4 linked regions of the Solanum lycopersicum genome follow. The protein of the gene in region 1 interacts with the protein of each later gene in a pairwise test. Links are inferred from orthologs where the notes say so. Each region holds a gene or a part of one and is shown on either strand. Other genes may lie near its edges.

Region 1 (5,643 bases):
ACTCGGCTTGCCAGAATTTTGTATTAAAACTTAAGGTAAATTCTTTTATTCCTCCAAGTTTCCAAATTCAATTACTTTCAACATACTTATTTCTAAGTATTTAGTTAGTATGATTCTGGCGTCATCAGCATGAAGAACTACTTTTTAAAATCTATACTCTCCACCATTCAAGCAAAGAGAACTTAGTCAATAGACCTTTTAGGCGTAAGAGATAATCTACCATTGCATTTGAGATGAAATCAGTACACTCAGAGAAAGGCGTCCACAGATTGCTAAATGATGGTCATCTACTCTAAGTGAGTTGACATTTGGGAAGAAAAACTGATCTCATATTAACAAGAACAGAATGTATAAAATAAGTCATGAAACTATAGTAACCCTTTGCCTGCATGAATTGGGCAAGAAAAGAGTGAACACTATAGAAGGCCGACAAGGGGGAGGCGTACCAGTCGAAGAGTTAGACTGAAAACCGTAGGAATCAAAGCTTGCTCCCAGTAGGTGCATTAGGTCAATTCATCCCATCTGCAGTCTGCCTAAGTCATGATGGTCAGAATTACCGAGAATTATGTGATATCTGTGCTGATGGATTAGTTAACATATGCTAGCGCAAGTTGGTCCTCGAACCATCTTAACTTTTTAAGAAAAAAGGGCTCAGAAGTTTCCGTTCAACCCACTAATGGCAGTGGTTTGTGATTTTGCCACTCAATACTGAAGAGAATCTTGCTCATTAATGAATGGGCAGGCTCCTGAGTCAGTGATACAACTCTACAACTACGTGGTCTTCAATTCTAATTGGTTACCACCATATTCCAATATATCGCCATTGAATCTTTTTAATTATTTTTTTAATAATAGTGGTGTCCGATTCAACTTGTGCTTACATCGACTATACCAGGAATTGCTTTGGCATCAATAAGTTTTATGCAAATGTGTCTACACTAGAAGCGTTCCAGATATAATTTCTCAAACTGGATGCCCTAAGACTCTGCATTAGTTTCAGTTTTCAGTTTATGGTGAAACTGTCATTAGCTACATTTTATTCCAAAGTTAAAGTGAATGTTTTTCCTTTCGGCAATGCAGGCGGTAGATTGCAAAAGATCTAAGTTTATCATGAATTTAACTACCAGTCATCTATCCTGACCAAGAAACAAAAGATAAACAGAAAAATAACAGAAGTAAAACAAACAAACAAAACAAAACAAAAGGGAAAAAAATAACAAATATTAATAATAAAATAGTTTCATTCCATCAGCACTGTATTATTTACTGTAAGTGAAATCACTGCATGCAATCTCTATTTCATATAAAGGCCAAAAAGAGCAAAAAAAGACAAAGTTGCTCCACAGTAACTTAACATGGAACCAAATAGACAATTCTGGAAAGAAAAAAAAAGTTATGCCATCACTTCAACACAGGGGCGGAGCCACCTTATCACTAGGGATTCATCCGAACCCCCTTCGGCGGAAAATTATATTATTGTTACATGGTTAAAATAAATTTTTAGGTATATACGATAGATGTCGAACCCCCTTCGGCTACTTCATGTGTTTATTTCTTCAGATTCTGAACCCCCTTATTAAAAATTCTGGCTCGCTTCAACGGCCTCACTTAGATCATAAGCCCATGCTCCTGATCTCAGCCAAGAAAAACCTCCCTATGACACAGCAAGAATCACAGATAATACAAATCCTTAGGAGAACGTAAGCAGGTTAATCTGCACTGACTTCCTAAAAGACAACAAGTGAAACAGAAAGAAGAAGGATTATCTTTCCCACATTTTGATCTTGCAGGATCTTTAATCTTTCCAGAACTAGAGTCAGTTTGAGCAACCATTACTAGGGTGCATGAACTGGACTAGGAACATATTATCCCAATAGAATTAATTCTCTCAAATTGAATATGCAATCTCTAATTTGAAAAGGTAAAGTAATTGTTTAGTCGAATTAAAGAACAGTCGGATAAAAGAACATGATTTAGCAAATATCTTTCAGCAAAACAAAAAGGATAATTCTCCGAGCTGCTACAGTATTCACCAACACAGTAACCTTAACATAAACACAGAAACTGTTCAGATTGTAAATACTTCTTCCGTTTCAAAAAAGAACAATCAGCTCAATAAACAAATTTCAAACCATCTCAATTAGTAGGACATTGATTCCTTAATCTTTTCTCGAATAAAATAAGCAAATTCAAAACCTATACAAAGAGTATATAAGTCAGAACATTTTTACAATGAAAAATCACTGTTTGACATTCTAAATGGTAATGTTATCATATAAAATGATCAAACAGAGTTGAGCACTAGGCAAACCAGTTTCTACAAAACAAAAAGAACAACAAAACTGAATTTACAAACATATATAAATTAAGTATAAAGAGAGAGTGAGATCTGAATTGAATTACCCGCACTTATCACAGAGGGTCGCAAATTCACCAGATCGCAAAGGCCACCCTTTTTTCCACTCAATTGAAGAAGTTGTCCCACACAGTCCATTCATGCAAATCTTCGACTCCATTCCTAAAATCCTTACCTCTAATCAAGCCCTAATACAGCATAATCTTCCTCTTAATACTCCATACGCAAAACCCAAAAAAAAAAAAGTTTTTTTTTAAAGCTAAAAATGAAGTCTTTAGAAAAACCCAAGTATGAAATAGTTGAATAATAAGTGTGAAGCAAGAATCTTGAAAACAAAAGTTAAAGACATAAAACTAAAGCTAGTAAGCTGCAGTGTTTGTGGGTCTGTTTTAAAATTTGTGATAGAGAAATATTAGGGAAGTTTGTTGAATTTCCGGTACCGGAACGGTGGAATTGGGAGAGAGAGAGAAGCGTAAAGTGTAAAACAGTTCAAAAATGGAAAAGGGGACATGCAGGGAGGGAGAGACTTGAAGGGTCAGCAAAGGTCGCCCGCCTTTCTCTTTCAGTTCTTCTTCCACTAACGTCTCTCTCTGCTCAATTTCTTTTTCACTTTATCATATCAGCTTTTCTTTTGAACATTGAAAAGAAAGCTTATGTTTATATAATTTGATCAAAAACATACAAGTTTTGTGACTAAATGCAAAGTAATAGTTAAGACCAACTATGTTGTAACCTCTCTCGTTGTTCTAGAAGAGATAGGATTAAAATAGGTACATTTGGAAGTGGCTTTGGTGCGGAAGTTAAAGATCGAGATAATTTTGAACATTTGAAAGTGATATGTTTTGATGTTCTAGTGTGGATGTGTGAGTGATTGGCTATAGATAATTTATATAAACAGAGATAAAACGAGAAAATAGTAGAAATGAATGTGTATGAATGGACGTGTGTTGATGAGGGCTGGAAATAGATGCTTAGGATCTTACGTAGAAAGATTAGGGAGGACACAAATTAGGATAGAAAATTAGAAGGTCATCGTGTGTTGTTTTATCATCTGTTCATATTAGTAGTTAGTGTTGCACTCGTAATTTCTAGTTCTTTGATTTTTATTACTTATTATCTTATATTTTTGGTCATCACATGATTCAATTATAATCATTGTCTTGTTACCATTAGTTATCTTGTTTGTATAATATTTCATGTACTTTAATCCATAATAATATCTCTATTTTTAGGTAAAAGATGATACATGCATACATTATATCTTTTCTAGAATCTCCGTTGTTGTTGTTATTAGTGTAGAGAAGTTTTGTGTGTGAAAGAAAATAACTTGAAAAAATAGTAATAATCAACTTTTCACAATTTAAAATCGATTAGAAAATAACTCCCCTTAAAAAGTAAGTACGAAATTTGAAAGCTTTACAAAGGGGTCTTAAACGGGTTTTTTAATGAAAGCTCTACAAAAGGGTCTTAAACGAGTTTTTTAATAAAAAAAGTGTTTTGTACATTTTTCTCTAAATTTGATTTATTTTTCTTTTTAGTTACCTCAAACAAGAATGACATGTTTATATAGCAAGTAACAATTTAACATTAAAATATTTATTTTACTTTTTATAAAATAACTTATAACAACACAAATATCTACTCTCTTCGTTAAAAAAAGGATATTAACGAAAAGGATGACCTAGTTTGACTTATAATGAAATTTAAGAAAAGAAAGAAGACTTGTTAATCTTGTGGTTCTAAATTAAAGTTATGTCAAATATATCAAAATGTTCTTTAATCTTGTGGTCTTAAATATGTCACATGGAAAGTTAAAGTTAAATTATTGTAAAAAAAAAAACGAAACATTCTTTTTTAAACAGATTAAGAAGAAAATAAAATCTTTTTTTTTTAAACACAAGAAATATCACTTATCTCAAATAAATTTCAAAAGTTTTCTTTTCATTTAAAAATTTTCTACCGATTCGAACTAACTCATATAAAATAAAATAAAAAACGGTGCAATAAAACAAATGGCTCATTTAGGAAGTGGGAGTCCTAATCAAAAGGACAAAAATCCACTTTGCTTTTCAAGTATGGTTCTTTTGGCTTAGTGTGTACGATAAGATTAGAACTAAGATTAATCATCATTGCGTAATTAAACAGATAAGTAAACAAATCAAAATTAGTTTATTCAATCCCCTAATTGATTACTTCTTCTACGCGTGCTATATCCTAATACTACAATGACATCATGCTTATCAAATCTTTAACCAAAAACCATTAACTAAAAAATTAGGTGATGAGGGGTGAGTGACTGACATTACTTTTTTTTTTCCCTATATGTAACAAACATAGAGAGATTTTCAAAAAGTTAAGTCAATCAGGTTCCTTAAAGTTCTCTGCATAATTCGCTTAGACATTTCAACTAATATTAGTACCAATTGAACATTTTTACCTATATAATAATCATTTCTATTAGACATTTTTTTTATAATCAACAAAAAATGTGAAGAGTGTGTGATACACTTGCGGTGACGTGGCAACATGACTAATTAAAAAATAACATTTGGCATTGGACCAAAAATTATAAAAAAAACACACGTTTAATATTTAATTTTTTAAAAAAGAAAAAGAATAATGAAAATGTCTACCTATTCTATCACACCTTACCCCCACCCCACTCCAACCCCCTTTCATCTTCATCTTCTTCTCCAAAACACATTCTTTCTCAAATTACAAAATCTTATTCTTTTCAAATAACTTCAAGATTTTTTTTTTTCATACTAAGAGTGAAGAAGAAAGAAAATTTTGTTGGCGGTTATTCAATTCTACATCTATGACAAAATGAAATTGATAACCCCAAAATTATTTCTTCCAAATTTTTTATATCATTTTTGATAAATTTAATGACCACATATGAATTTGAGTAAAAATCTTTGTTCGAAAATTGTGATAAATAAATATCGGCTAACTATTTTTATATGTAAAAGTCATTTATCTTTTTTCATTTTCCTTGTTTTTATGAGATTTGAAATAAATCATACGAAGACTTTCTTTCAAATCTGAATCTTTATAGTAGATTTTCATTTATCTTCATATTTGGAAGATATAAATTTTTTGTATATAAAAAAAAAAGAAAAAAAATAGCGTTGGAGCTAAAATGAAGAAAGTTTTGTAAACTAAATTATGAAGAAGATGTTAGATAGAGAGTGGGGTGTTTTTTTTTTTGAAAAAAGTGAAAATAAAGAATAAAATATATTTTAAGTTAATTATAATGCCAAGTGTCAATAAAAGAAGAAAAAATG
Region 2 (4,530 bases), on another chromosome or scaffold:
GGATTTATTTGATTTAACAAAAACTGATTAAATAAATTTTGTCCAAAAAATTTATCGATCAAATCATTTGCCAAATCCGAGACCGAGGCCGAGCGAGCGACGACGGCGGCGCGAGGGGGCATCTTCTTCTTAGCTCTTTAAGAAGTAATGGAAGTGTTTCCTTCTATAAGGACAACAATTTCTCTTTGTTTTGCGGATATGAGAGAAATGACTTTATTTGCACTTTGCAAATGACTTTTCATTTTTTTCCTTCCAAAGTAGTTCCCTCACTTTTTCATATTCTCTCTTTTCTTTTTCCATTCACACTTGCTAAATCCCAACATATCATACTATCCCTATTAAATGATGTTTAGTATATTATGAAGTAAGCAATTAATGCTATGGGAAAAACATGAATTTTGTCATCTTTTTTTTTTTCAAAAGTAAAAAGTAAAAGTTTATTTTTAAAAATAGCGGAGAAATGAAAGTGAACATAGGAAGTATTTCATATTCTTTAAATTTTATGCAATATACACGAGTCCACTGTAGATTTGATCTAAAGTGGTTACTGTTGAGCAAATAAATGCAAATAACACACACTTTTCTTAATAATGTTGGTATACAAACTAAGCTTGTTGGTTAATGCATCAAACTACTGTCTACTATCTTTGATCCCATATTAGATGAATATTTTACTAAAAGTATTTATTTTGTAGTATCTGATCATTTATTAAATTTAGATAAAATTAATTATTTTCTCAATATTACCCCTACAGTTAACAAGGCTTTGGAAGTTTAAACAAATTCTTAAGATCCAATTTAATTTCAAGAGGATAATTAGCATGATCAAATGACAAAATAGTAAAGTTAATCAACTTATTAACAATTTTTTAATAATAGTGTAAAGTATAAAGTGTTCATCCAACACGGGACGAAAGAATATGTCTCACCAAACAATAAAGTTTAGGCAGATGGGAAAATGTGATCGAATTCGAATATTAGTTCCCAAGGTAGTAGTGCCCCACTAAGCCCTATCCTTTGGCAAAACTCAGAACAATATAAACAACGAGATATATTCCAATTTTTAAACATCATTTTTGGAAATTGGAACATTCCTGGCGTCTGGGAAACAAGTAGGACCTAACCACACATGGGCACACTTTTTTCTATCTGCCTTTAATGTTGTGATTTGATTGATCTTGAATCCCCATTAAGCATCATTGTTAGTGATTGGACATGCCTTAAAAGTATGATTCTACCCATGTTTGCTTAATCATTCAAAGATGGATTTGCCAAATGTTTCCATTTAATAGTACACTCGTTTGGCCAGAAAAATGTTTTAAAAAATTCTCATGATCAAATGAGTCTTATATTAATATTACAAAACATAACTTCAACATTGAAAATTACAAATAAAAGTGAATATAGAACTACTTGCATCAAATCTTTTAACACCTGTACTTATGTTTTCGTGTTTCCAAAAACAGTACATGTCCTCAGAATTTTACTTCAAATTCTACATTTTACCTTCTAAACTACTCCTGTTCGTCTGATAACTATACACAAGTAACATAGATTCTTGGTGATCTAAAGAAGACTGCTGTATACGATGAAAAGTGCAGCCTCACCCTCCTCCCCAGATCACACATGGATTATGAAATATTCAAATACCAAATTTTATGAAGCTTCCAAGATAAGTGGGCAGGATATATTAACATTCGTCTCGGGGAGTTCCTGGGAAGTAGTGCAAGGAACAACTAAAATGCAATCTCTTGAAGAATTTGAAGTGTGTTCTGATGAACCTGAAACACAATTTAAAGTTATATGGATTAGCTACTTGTCCAGAAATGATGTTAAAAACAATCAGCCATTGATAACAAAAGCAACTTTCTAAATGAAACGCTACCCTAACAAAGATTAACAAGAGTATACCCATTCAAGATGCTGTGCTGTAACTCCAGAGACATTTCCTCCATATATGCCACCTAACACCTACAATGTCGCAATAAGATGCGGTAAGATATTATAATCGTCCCATCCTCCTTCTTACAATGTTTCTGAAGATTGAATCAGATATGCCAACTATGTCCAATAACAAAAATCTCATGTACGAGAAACTCTTACCTTAGAAACTGTTTCAAGAAACATGCCAGGACGCACAGGTGATGGTTTTCGCCCACTTACACTTGCCTGGAAACAAAAGAAAATTATAGTTGAGAAGCTTTGGAATTCTCAAAAGGTAGTGACATCATCTCAGGACAAAATCTCACCCTTCCTGCAATTCCACCAGCAGCACCAACTTCATCATTCGAACTGTCTGCACCTTCTTCTTTACCAAGCATCACGTTTTTTATCATGTCGCGTACTGCTTTCCCTGGTCTTAGGGAAACAAGTTCAGTTAAAAAGTTCACCTGCATGACCATAAAATGCTAACATTTAGTAGTCAAAGCAGAAGCTGTACAATAACCATTCAGATGGTTTATTTTTCACAGATTTACAGGCCCACCGAATTAAAATGTGACATGGGATATATATGTTTAAGTAACAAACCTCTGATTCAGGAAGAATATTAAGGCCACGATCATTTCTTTCGTCAAGTATTCCACCTCCCATCATGTTCCTAGCTTCTTCTCTGATTAAAACTAACCTTGCTAGTAACTTCCTGTCAGGGATAACAGAACGAGATTCCATCGTCTGCAACAAAGACAGTCACAGACAATCCATAATTTTATCAGTGAACACTAGCGTGAAGGATTCCTTCAAATAGTAATAATATTTTCGAAGTCCGTTGATCTGATAAATGATTTTAAGGGTTCAGAAATCACATTACATGATATTTTTTTTTGAGAATTTACATGATCTTATTTTATCTCTTACTTAAGCATGATGAAACAGTTTTTACTTTTTTTTCACAATGGAATATGAAATGATTCTAGAGCATGAAAGCAACTAACGAAACCTAATAGTAAAAGGAGCATCCGGACTAAATCTTTTACTATGCCATATCCATTATTGCATATTACTTCCAGAGTGATTTTCAAATATGTAAATTTATTTCTAGAAGAGGATAAAATGGGAGCCCAAGGGTGTGACCTAGTGGTCAATCAACTGGGTTGTGGACTCTGAGTTTTCAAGTTCAAATCCTAGCTGAGACAAAAATACTAGGTGAGGTTTTTTCATCTGTCATAGCCCCGTGGACAAAGTTATGTGGTACCTGTTTATTGCTAGTAGGAGGTGACAAGTATGTTGTGTAACAAGTCGAGGTGCATGCAAGGTGGCTCGGTCACCGCAGTTAATAAAAAAACAAAAATAAGGATAAAATGGATATTATATCTAAATCATGGAAAAGGTCAAAACTGATAACGAAGAATGAAGTATATCACATATATTGAATTGGGGAACACAAATAAGTTCAAACAGATGTCAAAAGAGAGTAATACAGAAAAGTTAGCCGAAAGCGCCAACACCATTTGACACTTACATGAGGAATTTGTTTAATTATTGATGACTGAAAACTGATAACTCTACAGTGACACGAAAAAAATTGAAGTCCAAACAAGATGATTCCCCTAAGCCTTTTTGGCAGGTTAGGTTTCCAACTGAAACCCATGTACTCCCTCCGTTTCAATTTGTTTGACTTACTTACTTTTTAGTGTGTTTAAAACAGAATGTCTCTTTTCTATTTTGGTAACTCTTTTCCTAAATTTCCACATGACATATTTAAGACCATAAGATTAAATAGCATTTTGGTACATTCTACATATTTTAGTTCAAGGCCACAAGATCCGAAAAAGTCTTCTTACTTTCTTTAACTCTGTCAGGTCAAAACCACAGAAACAAATTGAAAACGAGGGAGTATCATTTTTGGCCCTGATAACCAAGTAAGATGGCATCTGTTAAAACTTGACATTACCATGACTTGCCTTTTTTTCTTCATTTTTATAAAAAATTAATATTTCAGTAACTTGAGAACAAAAATAAATAATGAATTCAGCATTGAGCACAAGTTTCTTACAGCTTACATATAACCAGCATCAACACTACAAATTGTCTGACCAAGATGGCTGAACAGAAGTTTTAACATCAATAGATGAAAATATTGATCTAACCATTTTCCAAAATGTGTTACATAATGCACAGTGTGGTGCCTTATGGTCTCTACAAACCAGATGTTCCATACCATGTAAAGTTTGTGGTTTCTAATAACCTGCACCCTAAGGGACCCGCAGCCAAATGAAATTGATGCAAAACAAATTATTTTAGACTTAAATACCAAAAACTGGTTAGTCTCCTGACTATGCATATACATTAAGAGCCTACCTCCAGAATATCATCCGCTTGGTTAGCTATATCATTCAAATTTGCCCCAGGAAGATGGACTTTTGTCCCATTCTCACTTTGAAATACTCCACCACCAGCAGCAACTCGCCTGAGCAATTCATGTCTGCTTTCTTTTTGAGGAGTTCTACAGAGCAGGCCTATGACTTGAACCTAGAAAACATACAAATCCAATTCAATGTCAGATCAAAGACTAGAGCATCAATGCTGCTA
Region 3 (5,232 bases), on another chromosome or scaffold:
AAGAACAAGCGGAACAAATTCGGGAAGGGAAGGATCAAGTTTCTTAGGTTTCAAACTTGTTTCGACGTAGGTGATGGTTGTGATTATATGATGTATGTTTGTTGACAATATCTAACAAAAGGATGAAAATTATTAACTTTCAAATACTCGGAGGATGTTTTTTGTCAAAAAAAGATATATTTACTTAAGATATAATTTAAACTTAGGGTATAGGTTAAAGATGTTTTTGACCAAGAACTCTTCTCGAAAATGCCCGAGTTTTGCAGTTTGTCAAATTGCTTACTTCTCCTAAAAACATTTTGCTACTACAAAGAAAAACTATTTCCCCAAGGAAGTCTCAAGCATGTCAAAATGAGTTTGTCTAAGCAACACCATATTTTATCTTTATTTATTACAAACATTCAGAATATACATGTCTTATTTTGAGAGTTTTCTGTTGGAATCAACAATTTGGTACTAGTTGGCATTGCAATACATGTTTTACTGGATTATTGTAATAAATTTCTCCAATTGATGCTTTACCTATTTCAATGTAATCTAATCATAAAACTAGGAAAATTACTCGCGCCTCGCGCGGAAACTTAATATCAAAGAATTTATAAAATAATATTTTAAATCTATTAGTTATTAAAACTAAAACACTGTATTATCTCATATACAAGATTATTACGTGGTAACAAACATTAATAATGTAAAGAAAATGAAATTTATTACATCCTATCATTTATCCTTACTAACATAAACATATTAATGACTTAATAAATTATACTAAGATCTGTTATATAAGCAATCATCAGTGAGCCACTCAACAGGAACAAAGTACATAAATATTAGTTGTGAAGAATAAGAAGAGGAGGAGGAAGTGATTTAGAATTTTCGTTGTTTTAAAGTGAGAGGAAATTCTTTTATTTATAAACAACAAAGGGTACCGTGCACAAATGTTTATTATACCTTATCTGAAAGGCTAAAACTATTTGGAAAAGTTGCAACCTTCCGAAAGCTCACAACCTTTCATAAAAATCACATCTCTTTATAAAAGTCGCAATTCTTCATAAAAGTCGTAATTCTTCATAAAAGTCACAACTCTTCATTAAAGTCACAACTCTTCATGAAGTCGCAATTTTTCATAAAATGAGAAGGCTACTTTTGAAAATAAATAAATTTAAAAGGGAATTCTGGTTTGTGGTGGTGCCACACAGACAGGTCGAAGATTTTCTATATATATATATATATATATGATTCTACACTGATCATGATCATGATGACATACTCGAAAACTGGTTTACTTCGAAAAAGCAGAAATGATGACTTATGATACTAAAGAACCAAAACAGATGTTGGTAATAGTTAAAAGAGAAGAAAAAATTGACTGTAAAACAGTTGAACAAAATTTGAAGCAAATTACACTGCACTGTACTCCAAATTCCTCCAGCTTTCATAATTAGGAGAGAAATTGTTTCGATTGCTTTACGATAATGTTACTGGTTCAAGTTTTGCACATTTTCTTGTACTAGAAATACTATGAATTTTAACTGCTACATTACCTTCTACCTAAGCTCACCGTAAACCTTCATCCAGTGATCATTTTCACAAGTCATAATGTAAGATTAAGATTCTGAAATTTGGAAGCAGTTGGCTCTATCGGCGTTCAGCACCATGAACAATTTCGGATTAACCTGATTGTTTCCTTCAGCTATTAGGGTATTCAATCCGTCCACCTCTTCCAGCAATTCTGAGGTAACTACCACAGAAATATTCGACAATGGTATTCATTGGCCAACTAAAACCAATTTGAAACACTGAAATCCCTTAGCTTACTAAGATGTCTTTCCATGTCTTGCCTTGTCTTCTTCCACTCTTCTTTCTCTATCACAGTGGTAAAATCATCTCTTTCCTCCTACATTAATATGATGCTCCCTCATCAGAGATGGATAGACAGCGATAATAATACAGAGATAAGAAAGAATTGGAGTAAGAATACTCACTGATGGTATAATTTTGAATGAGTTCCCGTTATCACGGATGACAAGTAAATCATTCTTCCTATCCCTGCTTTTTCCTCCAGGAACTGTCACCTGTTTTTGGAACACAAAATAACTTTTTAATACTAACGATAAATGATTTGAGAAACCAAAGGCTACAACCAGATGCTCAATGTCTACCAGTTGAAACAGATTTTGATGGGAAATGTCTAACTTTTTGCAGCCAATATCTCACTGTAACAAAGCATTTCTTCATTCTCCACACCATAACAACAATAAAAAGGATAATGATGCAATGAATTTTTACACAAGTGTTTAGTTTTTTCTCTTTCTTTTCAAAATTCTTTCTTTTTTTTTTCTCGGAGAAAGGCGAGGTGGGAAAGAATGATCATTTTCTTGTCCACTACAGTTTCTTTCATTATATTTTGCAGACAGCCTAACTATAGTTGTATCTGATGTGCCTCCCAACAAAAGAACAACAAAATTATAATTAAAACACTTAATATAATAATGCTTACAACAGCTGTAATAAGCCACAATAAGCACTATTATCGAAAAGAGGGTCTGTGAAGAGCTATTGTCACTGTGCAGTTACATCTGGGACAATATATTTAAAAGTTGTAATAAAAGCTCTTTCATTGGATACTAGTATTTACCAACAAGAAATTGCACATCAGACTCATAAAGATAAGTACATCAAAATGCAAACCTATTATAACAATAAAACTGGACTTTTAGGGAGTGGTAGAAATATATATATCAAAGTTATCATTTTCAAATGAGTTCAAGACCTTAAAGAAAGGGCAAGTTACACGTATCTGCGTTGAACATATTTCGAACATTTCTGATACTTTTTCTTATGTTTTTCAATCAGAAATACAATATCTCCTAAACTTTTTATCATTAAATCATGTATTTTATTTTATTTTTTGAAACTGGTAAATGTGTGAATTCATGTATTTAATCATTCAAACTTTATACCTTTTCTACAGACTAAATCCTACATAGACAATGCAAAAGGGATAAAATGAAAAAAACAATAAATAAATAAATAAGAGAAAAGCCGTATTTCTGTAGTTGTTACACATTTGAAAGAAGATGAGTAATATTTGGGACTGCTGATAAGGTATGCTTCAGAAGTATTCCAAACCTTTCCCTTAAAAATTCTTCCATCCAACCTTACCTTTCTCAGGAAAACTATATTTAAAGTACACATGTTACTTCCCTTAGACTCGTTACCTTGTTCGACTGAACAATCCAACTTTCATGTCTAATAGTATGTAAGATGTTCCGAGCATACCTTGTCACTTACTTTTCAAGGGCTTTGCAAGGGAAGTCCTACTATAAAATGCCAAGAAAAGAAACAGAGAGACAGCTAGAAAATGAGTCTTTGTAAATAAAGAATTGATAGGAAATATGGCTGTGTTAGGGGTTCAGATTCTTGTCTTTTTAACCTAATTTTATGTTTCATTGTGTAGCAGTGATCACTGATTGTGCAACACTCTGTCAATTGAAGCATTTAAGAAAAGCATAATTATGGGACGAAGAAAAATCTTTAATACAAGGCAGAATAAGCAGTTAGAGAAAGGATAACAGTTTTATGTCCAACCACCCAGCAAGCGAAAGTAGGAAAGGTTGAGTCCAATTAGAAATATTACAAATAAAGGTAACTGTTGTTAAACAAGGTGTTATTTCCACCTAACTATTCTATTAAAATCTAGAGGCAATCTAAAGAACCAAAAAAGTGGATCAACATTCTCTAATTTGTATAAGAGTCTGTCCTTGTGATTCTTGATACAACGAAAGCAGCTACAATGAATTCATAACACCTATCAGAAGCTCTTTTGATGGAGGAGAAGTCAAGAACTAGGAGCTTGCTCTATCACATTCTGAAGACTATACTTGGGCATCTAATAGACCAACTCAACCAAATTTTCTCTTGAGCCGGCTCAAAGCCACATATCTTTGGCACAACATTCATTTAGAATCGACTTCTCATATTGCTCTTTGTTTGCGCTCAGATTTCAAAAATTGTTCACGACCTGTGTAGAATCCTCCAAAATGCACTATTTTAGAGGATCTGATATGCACCGATTGGCATTTTTGAAGAGGCAAATCAGCATAGGCTTTTAGAGTAATTCTAATTTCAGTCCCTAAATCATAGTCAAAACAGTTATTAACACACACACTCCTTACCTTTTCATACTAGTAGTCATAGTATTACTCAAGGAGTTTCTTGTCCCTCAATGTCACTTATTATCGTTATTACTTGCATTTTGATATCGTATTATTTTGTAGCAGTTGCATTTCTTTTTTCAAAATGCTTTGACATACTTCTTATAGTATTTTCCCATGACCTTCACTCATGTTATTTCTTTTTTCGATTAGCTTTGAAATTATTTCCTTGAGCCGACTACCTACAAGGTAGGGGGATAAGGTTTGTGTACACTAAACCCTTCCCCAGACCCCACTTGTAGGATTACACTGGATATATTGTTGTTGTTGTTGTATACTCCTTCCCTTTTCAGTATAAAAATGAAATCCTTTGGCATCATCAGCAAAGTGGAATTGGCTCTTTTGGGTCTGTTATATGACAATTCACTCCGGCTCTATTGCAAACAAAACAATTACCACTTATCAGTGCAAGGCAGCAATTGCAACCTTACCACTTCCTCTCTTCCATAGAACAAAGAAATAAATTTAAACTTAAATCCATTAGTTTTCCCCCTTTGCCTCTTACCCTCTTCCATGCAAACTCCTCCTGAACCCTGCACCCTTTCCCTTGAACAAAACAACCATTTCCCCAAATTTCTGTATTCCTTTGCACCGTATAATTTAGTCAGAATTGATTGTTGAGCGGTGTAAATTGTTAAACATCTCTTCAAAGAATTAACAATCCAATTTTTGGAACTCCAATTACACAGGCAGCAAATTCAGCTATGAAAATAAAAAAGCTATGTCCGCGAAATAAAAGATGATCGCTTTATCAGCCAAGTTACTTTTGATCAATAAAAAATTAGCTAATCTAGAAGAAAAGGTGTTCAATCAAATTTGTAATGATTCCTTACCACTACTTTGGCTCTTGTAATTGATTTGGTTTTAGAATCAATAACGTATATTTCTTCGAAATCAAGAGCAAATTCTGGATCACCTGCCCTGCGATTCCTGTAGTGCTTTGTCAAGAATACCTGCAACAGAAACATGCTGATCATACGACCCATAGAATGCAAGATTAAACATTCTTACCTTC
Region 4 (5,639 bases), on another chromosome or scaffold:
AACTACTTTTGATCGGTAAAGAAAATTGATGATAAAGTTGTACATACCTATATAATATAGAAATAAAAAAGAAAGAACGAAAGATTTTTCCTTTATCTAATGTGTTGTCTCATGTAGTAATTATCTTTTTCAATTGGGAGATATGGTTGTGTGGACTATAGTTTACTCATGAAGATTCCATAACTACTACAAAAATGGAAAGTTCAACACAATTAGAATTTCTTTTAATTGGAAGCAGCTACTAATTCATGATATGGCATGTATAGAATCAAAACTTCATTCTAGATTCTATGAGAATTTTTAAGAAAGCCTTTTGTATAATATTCCCGTAATCAATACGCTTGCACTACAACAACGCCCTATAGCTCAAACTAGCAAGTTATTAATTGTTTTCTTATAAATATCAACAATTAGTTAACCAAACTAAAAAAATTGATAGGTCGCTCCAGCACATATATTGATGAATTGATTTCGCCTCTTCCTCTTTAGAGCAGATCAATTGTCAGGCAAGTTGAAAGGTGCACTACCAAACCAAACAAGGATCGTTAACTTGGATATGTTTACTTGGCATTAGAAGTATAGAAAGAAAAGAAAAAGAAAAATCCAACCTCCAGATAGAGACGAGCAATTTGGACACATTTTGAAATTCTGAATGTATCATCAACGAATCTGCAGAAGAAGCAGTGCGAAGATAGAAATTTCAGCTTCCAAAGATAAGTTAAGGGACACAGCAGCAGGCAAGCAAAGATAAGTAGAAGTGTAACACAGACCTCATTGCAGAGTCTAAATCGATGCCACTAAGCATCTGAGCTGCTTTTGACCATTGTTGCTCAGACTCATATAATTCTGCAAGTTTTTCCCGAATGATCAACACCTGAAAATATGGGATTTTGTTTTAGAAATGGGCAGTAAAAACATAAAAGATCAAAAGAACCTGTATGTGGAGATCTCTTGATGACAACAGACAATATGCTGAGTTCCAATTTTGACCTTCATTTGTACCATTTTCTCAAAACTAAAATACTCAAGACACACATCAAATTTTAAGATAACTATGATTTCCGGAAAAACTTTTTAATCCCAAGATAAACAAATAATTCTGTGACTTTGGCGCTAGCCCACTCTCACAAAATTCAGTTCTTAAAATCACTTCCATCGAAAAGGAATCAAAGGTGTCAATGCAATAGTTCCATCCAACACCAACTCAAAAAACACACTTCATAATAAACAACCCCATGGTCCCAATGTGGGTTGTGGCCCGTGTATTGAGTTCCTGGTACTACACTCAAATTCTTTTCTAGCCTATTATTTTAACTGGTTTTAATAAAAATAGAGATGCTAACTTTAATGGTCAATTAGAAAGAGATTACTTTCTGAAAGACAATTATTTGGAAATTTGCCATCCTTTTTTCTGATAAGTACTTCCCATCCCATAATTAGTAAAAGAACGTGATTTCAATCGTTAAAACAGGCCTTCTCTTTAGGTGGCAGAGATATTGTCATGCTGATTCAATAATTCTCTTTCTTCATACCATGTTCCTCTCTGTATTTTTTCTTGATAGAGCATTCTTGCTGTTCTCTTATGAAGTTTTAAGAAATGAAATTACAAACATCCAAATGCTACACCCTTACAAATACATATGCACCACCTGATGCAACAGACAAAGCAAAATAAAGACAAACTGATGCTAGTGACATTCTGAAGCACCAAATTTTAGAGATATATAAGGCATTAATGTAAGTCCAAGTATCGTTCACTATGGGCTGCAAAGGAGTTGTCAAGAATCTGACAATTAACAAAATAGAAATATCAAAGCATACTTGTTCTTCAAAGGACACCACACGAGGCTGTATCTGGTTGAGAGTATAGTGTGCTACTTCCTTTTGAACATCAGGTTCCAATCTATCGAATTCCTGGGCAAATGTCTGCAATAGCTGTCTAGATACCACCAAGGGCACGTCATCCGATAGCACTGCATAATGTACACACTCAATCAAACAACAGCGGCTCAACCCCAAATTAGTTAGAATCTGACTATAAATATTCTATTTAGATTTCAGCTGAGAATATACAACGTGAATATAAAAATTACAGGAAAAATTAAGATTAGACAGCTGGATGGTGATTGCACTGCATAGTCATACACAATCTCAATCAAACAGTGGCTCAATCGCAAACCAACTGGAATCTGACTGCATAAATTGTCTATACATATTATTTCAGCTAGACGTATACAACATGAAAAATAAAACAAGTTGCAAAATTATGATTAGATAGTAACTACACTGCATAATCGTACAGTCTTAATCAAACAGCGGCTCAATCTCAAACCAGTTAGTATCTGACTATATAAATCATCTATATCTATTTCAACCGAGAAATCTACAACATAAACATAAAATTAACAGAAAATTGAGATGAAATAGTTGCTGCAATGCATAAATCACACACAATCTCAATCAAACAGCGGCTCAATCCCAAACTAGTAAGAATATGAGAATATATAAATCTTCTATATCTATTTCAGCTGAGAGACATAAAACATGAATGCAAAATAAATAGCAAAATTATGATGAGATAGTAACTGAACTGCATAGTCGTAAATAAACTTAAATCAAAATAACGGCTCAATCTCAAACCAGTTAGAATCTAACTATATATATCTTCTATATCTATTCCAGCTGAGAAATATACAACATGAAGATAAATTAACAGCAAAATTATAATGAGGCAGTAACTGCACTGCATAACCAAACACATTCTCAACCAACCAATGGCTCAATCCCAAACCAGATAGAATATGACTATATAAATATTCTAACATCTGTTTCAACTGAGAAATATAAAACATGAACATAAATTAACAGCAAAACTGTGATGAGATTATAACTGGCGCGACATAATTGTACACAATCTCAATCAAACAACCTCTCAATCTCAAACCGGTTACAATCTGACTATATGAATCTTCGAACATCTATTTCAGCTGAGAATTATAGAACATGAACAAAAAATTAACAGCGAAATTATGATGAAACAACGAGAAAAACTTACTGTGATCGATGAATTGCTTGGCTTGTTGGATATCGCTTGATGCAAGAACGGTGGACAGAATGTGCTTGTACTGTTCGATTTTCTGGCGTTGGTCGCTGATCGCAGAGGCACTAGCGAACGCACTCTCCATTGCGATTTAGGGTTTATCTCTGAGCTAATCTTCTCGAATACGCAATTTGGAGTGTCTCGTCGAGTTCTTTTTCGAAGCGTTAATGGAGCTTATGAACCAAAATTTTGGCATATAAATAGGGATTTGAAAGTCGATTTATAATCTGTTGCCCGCTGTGGTATATGGGCTCGGACACAACTTCGAACTAATTTTATTTTTTTAAAAAGAAAAAGTGATAAAATTATTATTTCGGTTCAAATTTATGTAGGATAATTTTCACATGTAGCATATATAAAATTTATATTTGTATGTTATAACAAAGTTCATATAATTGCGCTTTGTAACAAATATATTTAATAGCAAACATATATATGTATAATTTGCTATACATATACAATTGAAGCGAATTGTATAAAACGAAGTGTATAAAATGAGAAAGAAAAAGAGACTTGGGCATAAAATTGTATAAAATGAAATGTATAAAATGAATTATATAATTATAAGTGTATAAGACGATTATATACAATTTGAATTTGTATAAAATGAGAAAGAGAGAATGACAAAAGAGACTTGGGCAGGGAATATACAATTGAATCAAATTGTATAAAACGAGAAGGAGAGAGACAAAAGAGACTTGGGCGGAAGAGTACTTTTATTGTATAATTATAAGTGTATATGACAAAAATATATGTATTTACATGTGTATATACAATTTTCTCTCGATTTATATGATTAGAAACACAACTTATACAATTCTATTGTATAAAGCGAGAGAGGCAAGCGATAGGGAGAGAGAGAGAGAGAGTGACGAGCGAAAATATGAGGGAGAATGAGACTGACAAACAGTTTGCTATGAAACACAAATAAATCAAACAATAGCTATTATATTTATTTTACGGACAAGGGCCTAAAATACCCTTAAAGTATTCAAAATGGTACAAAATTACCCTTCATCCACCTATTGGCTCCAAAATGCCCTTTTCATCCAGCTATTGGCTCCAAAATACCCTTGTCATCATCTTTGGGTTCAAAATTGACCACTTTTTTTAATTGTTTTAAAATTTAACTCTTTAAATATTTTTAAAAATACTTGGCGTTCAACTATTGATTATAATTATAATTTTTTAATATAATTTATTAACCAACCCACTACTCACTCATTACTAATTAAACCTCACCCAATTAATAATCCAATTATAATATCAAAATCATCATAAACACTAGTAAAACACGATGAAATTATAGATTCCTGAAAATGACATTCAAAATTATTCGAGTCCGAATCGAAGTCCCAATTAAATTTAGGTTGAGCCGCTTATTTAGAAGGACACTTTCTTTCAAAATTGAATTAGAAATTCATGATTAAAGGTAAAGAAGTAATACATCCCGAACTAATTCATGCTCTTTTTTAAAATATAATTTTATAAATATTTATGATTTGTTTTAAAACCTTTAATATATTATTTTGAAAGAAAGTTACCTATGAAGTAACATCACATAATTGAGACATAAGAATAATTAAAATGAACATAGTCAGACTTTTAAGTTTATCGGTGATTTTTATTTAGCCACTTGAATGTATGATAATTTACCTCTATAATTTTTAAAAACACTCAATTGGCAGTAGCTTGCATTAATAATGTGACGGATTCATTAATTTAGAGGGATTTGATTAGTAATGGGATGGGTAGTGGATTGATTTATAAATTATACTAATAAGTTAAATTATAACAAAAAATTGAGTTTCACGTATTTTAAAAAATATTTAAATAGTTTAATATAAAACCGTTAAATAAGTGGTCAATTTTGAACCAAAAGGTGGATGACAAGGGTATTTTGGACCCAATAGGTGGGTGGGAAGGGTATTTTGGAGCCAATAGGTGGATGGAGGGTAATTTTGTACCATTTTCAATACTTTAAGGGTATTTTAGGTCCTTTTCCGTTTATTTTATATTATTAATTTGTTATGTTATACAATTACCTAAAAGTTATTCAAAATCAAATTACAATCTAACAAGTCAAACACAATTTCACAGCATTAACTTACTGTTCTTGGATTAATACATTATAAAAAATAATTACTGATTTTAGCGATATTTTTTGCTTATTACCATTTAGGACACTTACTGACATAATAAGCTCAGAGAGTCGCTTGTCCAGCAATTCATCAAATTTATCAAGTAATATGAACACCAAATCAAATCGCGAAAGCAAAGCACCATTCATTCTTCAAGTTCTCGTTCACAGTTTTTGCACGGCTGCAAGAATTTTTTCACACATTACCACCACAGTTAAAAGACCAATATGTAATGCAAGTATTCCCATGATCTATGCTTACATAATTATACGAGATAGATTTGTAACAAAACTTTTCGAACTAAGACTTAAGCCGTTAACCATAGTGAGATAAATTTCACCGAGGAATTTAAAATTTCATAAGTATTAAGGTCAGTTCACTAGATTTAGCACCTTGAG

The links.
Region 2: the proteins of B3 domain-containing transcription repressor VAL2 (region 1) and protein PEP-RELATED DEVELOPMENT ARRESTED 1, chloroplastic interact in binary tests that used the Arabidopsis thaliana proteins (3 or more experiments, as listed by UniProt). The link is inferred for Solanum lycopersicum from reciprocal best matches to the Arabidopsis thaliana genes HSL1 and AT5G48470.
Region 3: the proteins of B3 domain-containing transcription repressor VAL2 (region 1) and PLASTID TRANSCRIPTIONALLY ACTIVE protein 6, chloroplastic interact in binary tests that used the Arabidopsis thaliana proteins (3 or more experiments, as listed by UniProt). The link is inferred for Solanum lycopersicum from reciprocal best matches to the Arabidopsis thaliana genes HSL1 and PTAC6.
Region 4: the proteins of B3 domain-containing transcription repressor VAL2 (region 1) and CSN4 interact in binary tests that used the Arabidopsis thaliana proteins (3 or more experiments, as listed by UniProt). The link is inferred for Solanum lycopersicum from reciprocal best matches to the Arabidopsis thaliana genes HSL1 and COP8.

The regions. Positions count from the first base shown.
Region 1 is NC_090809.1:57,732,604-57,738,246, reverse strand, and holds the start of B3 domain-containing transcription repressor VAL2, read right to left. Parts: upstream 3,391-5,643; 5' UTR 2,517-3,390; coding exon of another isoform or gene 2,495-2,516; coding exon 2,404-2,494; intron 530-2,403; exon of another isoform or gene 505-529; coding exon of another isoform or gene 447-504; intron 1-446. UniProt on the Arabidopsis thaliana protein: Transcriptional repressor of gene expression involved in embryonic pathways, such as LEC1, ABI3, and FUS3. Repressor of the sugar-inducible genes involved in the seed maturation program in seedlings.
Region 2 is NC_090808.1:43,956,219-43,960,748, reverse strand, and holds the end of protein PEP-RELATED DEVELOPMENT ARRESTED 1, chloroplastic, read right to left. Parts: intron 4,471-4,530; coding exon 4,300-4,470; intron 2,674-4,299; coding exon 2,530-2,673; intron 2,391-2,529; coding exon 2,250-2,390; intron 2,170-2,249; coding exon 2,104-2,169; intron 1,972-2,103; coding exon 1,912-1,971; intron 1,782-1,911; coding exon 1,737-1,781; 3' UTR 1,317-1,736; downstream 1-1,316. UniProt on the Arabidopsis thaliana protein: Plays an essential role in early steps of chloroplast development. May be involved in the redox control of plastid gene expression by maintening the redox state around chloroplast nucleoids.
Region 3 is NC_090803.1:56,303,259-56,308,490, reverse strand, and holds the end of PLASTID TRANSCRIPTIONALLY ACTIVE protein 6, chloroplastic, read right to left. Parts: intron 5,171-5,232; coding exon 5,051-5,170; intron 2,076-5,050; coding exon 1,986-2,075; intron 1,898-1,985; coding exon 1,781-1,897; 3' UTR 1,366-1,780; downstream 1-1,365. UniProt on the Arabidopsis thaliana protein: Essential protein involved in plastid gene expression and in chloroplast biogenesis.
Region 4 is NC_090803.1:66,278,540-66,284,178, reverse strand, and holds the start of CSN4 (COP9 signalosome complex subunit 4), read right to left. Parts: upstream 3,295-5,639; 5' UTR 3,186-3,294; coding exon 3,056-3,185; intron 1,974-3,055; coding exon 1,822-1,973; intron 875-1,821; coding exon 771-874; intron 670-770; coding exon 609-669; intron 1-608. UniProt on the Arabidopsis thaliana protein: Component of the COP9 signalosome complex (CSN), a complex involved in various cellular and developmental processes such as photomorphogenesis and auxin and jasmonate responses.